Ovis aries: one gene and its partner. The protein of the gene in region 1 interacts with the protein of each later gene in a pairwise test. Links are inferred from orthologs where the notes say so. Each region holds a gene or a part of one and is shown in the gene's direction. Other genes may lie near its edges.

Evidence for each region. The genes of interacting proteins can lie anywhere in the genome.
Region 2: the proteins of DISC1 (region 1) and CDK5RAP3 interact in a two-hybrid assay, tested with the Homo sapiens proteins (2 studies listed by BioGRID and IntAct). The link is inferred for Ovis aries from reciprocal best matches to the Homo sapiens genes DISC1 and CDK5RAP3.

What each region holds. Positions count from the first base shown.
Region 1 is NC_056078.1:3,813,984-3,818,156, forward strand, and holds the start of DISC1 (disrupted in schizophrenia 1 protein), read left to right. Parts: upstream 1-1,265; 5' UTR 1,266-1,340; coding exon 1,341-1,440; intron 1,441-4,173. UniProt on the Homo sapiens protein: Involved in the regulation of multiple aspects of embryonic and adult neurogenesis. Required for neural progenitor proliferation in the ventrical/subventrical zone during embryonic brain development and in the adult dentate gyrus of the hippocampus.
Region 2 is NC_056064.1:38,227,377-38,231,555, reverse strand, and holds the start of CDK5RAP3 (CDK5 regulatory subunit-associated protein 3), read left to right. Parts: upstream 1-1,379; 5' UTR 1,380-1,400; coding exon 1,401-1,406; intron 1,407-1,629; coding exon 1,630-1,675; intron 1,676-2,047; exon of another isoform or gene 2,048-2,089; coding exon of another isoform or gene 2,090-2,111; intron 2,112-3,385; coding exon 3,386-3,517; intron 3,518-3,796; coding exon 3,797-3,897; intron 3,898-4,179. UniProt on the Homo sapiens protein: Substrate adapter of E3 ligase complexes mediating ufmylation, the covalent attachment of the ubiquitin-like modifier UFM1 to substrate proteins, and which is involved in various processes, such as ribosome recycling and reticulophagy (also called ER-phagy).

The sequences.
Region 1 (4,173 bases):
CACAGAGTTATTTCTCAGAGTGTCCTCTGGACCTCCTGGGAGTCAGTAAGTGGGTCTTATGTGATAAGTCTATGCTAATATTTCACTCTCCCTAAGCCTTTAGATAATTCCTTTACAGTGTACCAAGGCAGTTCTGGCATTTCCACATCATTTAGTGCTGGTCACCTCTTGCCTCCCATTTCTGTCAACTAGCTAAGCAAACAGCTTGTTCTAATCTCACAAACTGCGGTGAATCCGGATCTCTGCTTGGTGGTGACCGTCATTACATTCAGCCTCATCCAATGGTTCCCCACACTCTTCATATTAACGCTCACATTCATTCTGTCCCACAACACTCCGACTTCTAAGCATATATAGGTGTTTTCACTCACATGGTCCTGATCTTTTGAACGACCTTGACTCTCCTGCAGTTCTAGGACGATCCTTCCCCTTCCTCCAGGGAGCCTTTCCGACCTTTCACTGCCTCTTACCGCCCCTCCTCCCACTTCTACAGTGTTTCATGACAGACTTTGGCTCTTGCATATTCTGCTGTACGTCATGATTTAGTTTTACACGCTCATGTTTATCTTCCCCATAGGAGGCCGGGGAAGCTCCTTAAGGGCGAGAACCATTTCTGGCAGGTGCGTCTTCAGAGATGCTCCAGGAGACTCCTGCATGAATACAAGAGGAGGCGAGTGGGCTGGCTTAGGAACTCAGCACGGATCGCAGTTGTGTCCTGGGCTGGCTGCCCAACGTGGGGAGGCGGATCTGGGGCCAGCCCAGTGCTGCCAGAAGATTCAAACAGTTGGATCCTCATTTCATGTAGAACTACTCGCCCCGCTCTCTTTCCCAGGGTGAGCTGCAGTCTCCCCTCATCCTCCCCCCGCCCCCCGCTCCTAGCGAAAAGAGTCCCTCTCACTCCGTCCAGCTCTTCCATCAACCCTGTGGTCACTTCCCTAATTAGTGTCTGGGAGGAACCCTCCCGTCCCCCAAGGAGGGCCTCCTAGTCTCTCCCTTCCCGAACACCCGTCCTCTCCACCGCACTTCCCCTCTCATTTTCGTCCAACACCGAGGGAGAGTGAAAAATAAGCTCTCCGAGGTCTGTGACCCAGGCTGCGGGCTTGCGCGCCCCGCCCGCCCCAGCCGTCCGCGTGTGTGTGTGTGTGTGTGTGTGTGTGTGTGTGTGTGTGTGCGCGCGCGCGTGCCTGCCCCGAGGCTGGAGAGGAAACAGCCGGTCCAGCCCGGGAGGAGGAAGGAGCCTCCCCTTCCTCGCCAGCCCCCTCCCCACTTCCCGTCCGGCTCGGCCTTTAGCTTCCCGGACGCGGGCCTCGGGTGCACAGAGCCCTCTGGCCGCAGCGGAGATGGAGAAGGCGGAGGCGGATCGGGAGGAGCCGGCGGGGCGCATGCTGGGCGGGGCTCCCCAGGGCGCCCCGGCCGGTGGCGGCAGGGGGCACCGCGCAGGTAGGGGTGCTGTCACGGCCGCCCGGCGGGTCGGGCCGAGGGTTCCTCGGCGAGGGTGAGCTCTGTCCTCTGGAAATCGTTTAGGTCCGGGGTGCGCCTCGGTTAATATCTAGGGCTTCTGCACTCTTGCGGGGTGAGGGAAACTGAGGCAGGGCGCGTGGCGTGCCGAGCTGAAGTCTTTGTCGGGCCTGGGGCTGCCCGCCAGCGCCGAGCCGGGCCAGGTCCTCCCGGAAGACGGTGCTGAGATCCCGGGAGCCGCAGTTCCCGCCCCCGTGGGTCCCGGTGGCCGAGGAAGGCGGCTTGAGCGCGCGGCTGGGTTTCGCTGCGCCCGGGGACTGAGCCAGCCGAGGCTCGGGGCTCCGCGCGCCCTCCCCTGCGCACTCGCCGGACAGGGGACGCCCCGCCGCCTGGTCCGGGAACAGCGTCCTGACACCTCGCAGAGTCTCGGGTTTCAGCACTCGAGGACCTGGAGGGAGGAGGTTGGGGTGGGATGGGGGACGCGGTGCTGGCACCGTCCCAAGGGGCTGCTCTGCGAGCAGTTTCACCTCCCACTTCCTCCGCATCTGTGATGCCCTCGGCTGTCTCGGAGCTGGAGCCGGGGAGCCCCGGTCAAGCTGTCAACGCTGTCAGCGCTCAGCGTTGACACTGAGGCCGTGAAGTGCACAGCTGCTTTGCAGGAATGGCAGGATGTCCCCTGCCATCTCGCTTTTAAAATACACGTGCAAAGGAGTTTGAGACTTTGGGATAAGAATGAGATTTGGAGTGAGGGAGTTATGTGTCCTTGCTGGACTGGAAGGAGGCGGGTAACTTTGACAGCTTCTTGAGTCTTCCCCGGTGGCTCAGATGGTAAAGCGTCTGCCTGCAATGCGGGAGACCCGGGTTCGATCCCTGGGTTGGGAAGATCTCCTGGAGAGGGAAACGGCACCCCACTCCAGTACTCTTGCCTGGAGAATTCCACGGTCGGAGGAGCCTGGTCGCAAAGAGTCGGGCACGACTGAGCGATTTCACTTTCACTTTAGCAGCGCTGAACCTCGGATTTCATCACATACACAAAAGAACGCTGGTAACCTCCCCCCTCCCCATCTCGTCTGGATATCTGCTGTGTGTGAAAGCACTTTGCAAAATGTATGGTCAGTTGGGCAGGCAAATGCGATTTGGGTAATACCAGAGCCTTAAGAGCTGGAGGTTGAGACAGTTAGCTTGCATCTCAACCCTGCACTTAACTGTGTCTTAGTTGCCCCATTTATGAAATGGGACAATGACAGTGACCTCATAGAGTCGCTGTGGGTTTGACTGTGGCCATGGATGTGAACACCCAACCTGGTGCTGAGATACGTAGTAAGCTCTAAATAAGAGCCTCAGATGCTCTTTTCACTAAGCAAAACCCAGTTAATTTGGAGTGGTGAAAAAAAAAAAAAAACACAAACAAACCACCACCAGTTTGATTTGATTATAGTATGAATGTGTGTGTGTGTGTGTGTGTGTGTGTGTGTGTGTGTGTGTTCAGTCGTGTCTGACTCTTTGCAACCCCATGGATTCTAGCCCACCAGGCTCCTCTGTCCATGGGTTTTCCAGGCAAAAATACTGGAGTTGGTTGCCATTTTCTTCTTCAGGGGATCTTCCTGACTCAGGGATCGAACCCTTGTCTCCTGCATCTGCAAACAGATTGTTTACCACTGTGCCATCTGGAAAAACCACATCTCTTGTAAAGTATGAATCAGCTCAGTTCAGTTCAGTTGTTCAGTCGTGTCCAGCTCTTGGCAACCCCATGGACTGCAGCACGCCTGGATTCCCTGTCCATCACCAACTCCCAGAGCTTCCTGAAACTCATGTCCATCGAGTCGGTGATGCCATCCAATCTCATCCTCTGTCGTCCCCTTCTCCTCCCACTTTCAATCTTTCCCAGCATCAAGGTCTTTTCCATTGTGTCAGTTCTTCACATCAGGTGGCCAAAGGATTGAAGTTTCAGCTTCAGCATCAGTCCTTCCAATGAATATTCAGGACTGATTTCCTTTAGGATGGACTGGTTGGATCTCCTTGCAGTTCAAGGGACGCTCAAGAGTCTTCTCCAACACCACAGTTCAAAAGCATCAGTTCTTCAGCACTCAGTTTTCTTTATGGTCCAACTCTCACCTCCATACATGACTACTGGAAAAACCATAGCTTTGATAAGATGGACCTTTGTTGGCAAAGTAATCGCTGCTTTTTAATATGCTGTCTAGGTTGGTCATAGCTTTTCTCCCACGGAGCAAGTGGCTTTTAATTTCATGGTTGTAGTCACCATCTGCAGTGATTTTGGAGCCCCCCAAAATAAAGTCTGACACTGTTTCCATTGTTTCCCACCTATTTGCCATGAAGAGATGGGACCAGATGCCATGATCTTAGTTTTCTGAATGTTGAGTTTTAAGACAACTTTTTCACTTTCCTCTTTTACTTTCATGAAGAGGCTCTTTAGTTCTTTGCTTTCTGCCATAAGAGTGGTGTCATCTGCATATCTGAGGTTATTGATGTTTCTTCCAGCAATCTTGATTCCAGCTTGTGCTTCCTCCAGCCCAGCATTTCTCATGATGTACTCTGCATAGAAGTTAAATAAGTAGGGTGACAATATACAGCCTTGACGTACTCCTTTCCCGATTTGGAACCAGTCTGTTGTTCCATGTCCAGTTCTAACTGTTACTTCTTGACCTGCATACAGATTTCTCAGGAGGCAGTTCAGGTGCTCCAGTATTCCCA
Region 2 (4,179 bases), on another chromosome or scaffold:
ATCTTCCCAGACCAGGGATCAAATCCAGGTCCCCTGCAGTGTCAAGTGGATTCCTATCTACTGCACCATCAAGGAAGTCCAGTTCATATATTTTAACAAGGGCATTTTAATTATACACGGGACTCCCGTAGTTATCTTGCTAGTCTTTCCCGCCTGTTTTTCCCTGCACCTCGTTGCAAAGCCTGCAAAGCTTTGTACAGTCTACTCCAACCGGGAACACCACTCCCACATCTCCCTCTTTCTGCAGCTCTTCTTTTAACACTCAATTTAGGTGTTATCTTTGGGATGCCTCCTTTGACCCTCCTCCCTCCCCATCCCTGCCCTAATCACATAACACGTAGCAGGTGTTCAACACTTGTCTATTACATAAATTCAGTGAGAAGGTAATGTGCCAAAAAAGACTTTTAAACCATGATCCACGGTAAAGCGAGGCAAGTAGGGCGTTTCTAAAAAGACTCTTCTTGAGAGTCTCTTGGACTGCAAGGAGATCAAACCAGTCAATCCTAAAGGAAGTCAACCCTGACTATTCACTGGAAGGACTGATGCTGAAGCTGAAGCTCCAATACTTTGGCCACCTGATGCGAAGAGTTGACTCATTGGAAAAGACCTTGATGCTGGGAAATATTGGGGGCAGGAGGAGAAGGGGGCGACAGAGGATGAGATGGTTGGATGGCATCACCGACTCAATGGATATGAGTCTGAGCAAACTCCAGGGGATGGTTTACGACAGGGAAGCCTGGAGTGCTCCTATTCACGGGGTCGCAAAGAGTCGGATACGACTGAGCGTATCTAAACAACATCAAGTTATGGGCAGCATTATCACCATCTTCTACCCCACAAAGAACCACAATGCACTGGAATGTTTTCCTCTGGAATTGCATTTCTACTCTTGTATTCAAAATTTTTTCCCACTTATGTTCAAAATTAAAAAATGACATCATTAAAAAAATAAATAAATAAACAACATCAAGGACCTCTAGGTTCCTCAGTAGGCGCTAGGACCCTGTCGGCCGACTCGTTAATCTTTACGCAGAGGGCTCCGCGCCTGTCTGGCCGGGAGCGACTGGGATCAGCTCCAGGGCGCCGCCTGCTGGGATTCTGCAGCCTCTGCAGCCCTTTCCGGGCGCCCCAGCTCCTGCCAGGTCTTGAGCCCGCCTCGCGTCTCCCATTGGCTGGCTCCTCTTCTCCCGCCCTTCCCGGGCTCAGCCACTCGGAACCCCGGCGTGGGTGGGGCTTGAGGCCTGGGATGGAGCGCGCTTCCCGATTGGCTCTGAGGAAGGCGGTGACGTGGCCCGAGAAGACCCATCTGTGCCTAACCCGAGGCTCAGCCAGAACAGCCCTGGATTAGTGGTAGGCGGGGCGTGTCCCGGTCGGAGGCCGGAAACGGAAGTGGAGGAAAGATGCAGGTGGGGGAACAGCAGCTGGGGAAATGGGGGGCTGCCCTGGGGCCCCTGGGCTGAGTTCAGCCGGTCCTTTCCTGACATGCTTCCTCAGGCTCTCTCCGGGGGCGCCCTCCCCGGCCCGTTGTGCTGGCCCCACAGGGTGGCGGTTGGGGCGATGAAGTGAGCGCGCGAGCGGCTTGTCAGCTCGCAGCACTCACGCACCTTTCCCCGCCGTGTTTCCCGCCAGGACCATCAGCACGTGCCCATCGACATCCAGACCAGCAAGCTACTCGGTAGGAGGGGCGCCCCCGCTCACCTAGCTGTCAAGGGGAGACCTGGCCCCCTGGCCCTCTGTCACCAACAGCGGACCCGCCGACCACTCGCTCTGTTCTGTGCTCCCATCTGTGGCTGGACCTGCCTCAGTAAAAGGAGCGGGAAGGAACCATGCATAGAGTCTATACTTGACCTGTGTTTTCTATTTAAACGTATATAACATGTTGTCAGTCATGTATTTTAGGGACAGAGGAGAGTTGAAGGCTTGCCTTAAAGATGATCAGCTGCCGAATGGCAGATCTGAAGTTAGAACCTAAGTCTGTCAGGTTCCAGTATTGTATTACGCTGGAAAAAAAAACTTTCTTCCTTTTTATTTTTTCCTTTGACTTTAGGAGGAAAAGGCACGTAGGTCCAGTTGAAAAGAAAACCTTTTAATGGCCAGACCATCTCCCTGCTGTCTGTATCGCGTCTATATACCACCTCTCTAGTTCAGAGCCAGGGAAGGGCCTCTTCACTCTGACCCCTCTAGGGCAGTGCACAGCTCCTGGATTTTTAAATGGTCTTTGAATTAATTGTTTTGATGCCAGTTGTGTCATTAAGATGACATCTGTTTGACTGTGTCGTCCCTTTGCTTCCACTTCTGTGACATCTACATAATTTTTGTTTTTGGAGATTTTAGTGGAGTGCAGCAATGGGGATATAACTGATAACTAGTGTGGGCTCCCAGCATTTGACCAGTTAGCAGATTTCTTAACAAGGGCAAGGTGGCCACTTAGTGGAGCGTCTTTAACTTCATTTTGGATTTGTCCCAGCTCTTCAGGACCTGTACACTCTTGATGTATATGCTTGTTATTGGTCCTGAAAAGGACTGGTAAAAACCCAACCATTTATTGAGGGTTTATTCTATACCAAGTGCTGTTTTATGGGCTTAACATTATGAAAATGAAGACCACTACAATTCATTGAGCCCTTGCCATGCGCCAGGCATGATGTTCAGTGTTCTACCGTTTGTACTCAGTATATTTATCATGCCCATTTTACATGTAGAGAAACTGAGGCACAGAGAGGTTGAGAGACTTGCCCAAGAAAGTTGGTAATTAGAACCAGGACCAGCTGACCACAAAGTCTAGGTCTTAGCTCTCTCCTATGAGGAAATGTACATAGCTCTCATCCACCTATACCCTCAACTGAAAACAGATCTGGCCCAGAATCCAGGAGATCAGTCACACTGGTATCCATGTGTGCAGGATGGTGCTTCGCTGATAAGAGTAGACCAGTGTTATTTAGTCCTTAGGGGCTTTGCAGTTGTTCATTCATCTGGTATTTGGTGTAACCGACTTGTGTTTTTCATTGTCATGGTTAATCCCAGCCCTGAGAAAGTAGAAATTGAATGGCAGTAAGAAAGATATAATTATCCATGGAAGCAAAAATATCATGGAGAATTTAGAGTGGTCCAAAGTGTCACTTTGATGTCAGGACCAATTGAAAGCTTTCCTTTATCCTGTGTTGAGGCAGTTACTTTATAAAGTCACATTGTGGATAAAGTTAGGTTGCTGGAATCTGTTTAGCCCCAAGCATCCCTTTGAGCCTGTCTTCATTCCCATCTTCCCGTGACCCCCACACCTTAACCAATATGAGTACAACTTTTAGCCAATGCCTTAGCATATTTCACTTGAATCAGTGATGCAGTTTTGGCCATGGGAATGCTATGATTTGGGTTTCTGCTATAGACTGGCTGGTAGATAGAAGGCACTGCAACCTGAAATGGCAGAGTCTAGTATTGACCATCCGAGAGAAGATCAATGCCGCCATCCAGGACATGCCAGAGAGCCAAGAGATCGCCCAGCTGCTCTCTGGATCCTGTGAGTGCTTCGGGGCTGCATTACTGGACCCCCGTCTTTCTTGGGGTGGTATAAATCTGCTGAGCTGTTCCTCTTTCTTTAGTCATAGGACTGACCTCTAAAGAAAGAGAGGCTTTTATTTGGGGTATAGAGGCTGGTTTATTTCAACACAAAATGATGAAGGGGAGAGCTGTGCCCTCTAAAGTTACTGGCATATACATGAGTCAGCCATATGCGGAGGCTGCAGTGGTGGGTTAGAGACTATTATTTCCAAAGTCTTTGTTTTTCTTTGCTTTCCAGACATTCACTACTTCCACTGCCTAAGAATTGTGGAGCTTCTCAAAGGCACTGAAGCCTCCACAAAAAATATTTTCGGCCGGTACTCTTCACAGCGAATGAAGGCAAGTATGGGTGACGGTGGTAACGCGCAGCTGGAGGCATCCAGTCCAGGGGGTCAGAGGCTGTCTGGTCTCGCTGAGGTTCCATTGGAGATGCCCCCGTGGAATATTTTCTCAGCTTTCTCTCTGTCCCCATAGTTTATGCCAAAAGTAGATCCTGAAAGTGGAAGTATCAGTCGCTCAGTTGTGTCCAACTCCTTGTGCCCCTACGCCTGGGTTTCCATTTGCTTTAGGAATCGCTTGTTGGCACCATACTCTTAAAGTGGGTGGTCCAGCCAGCATTAT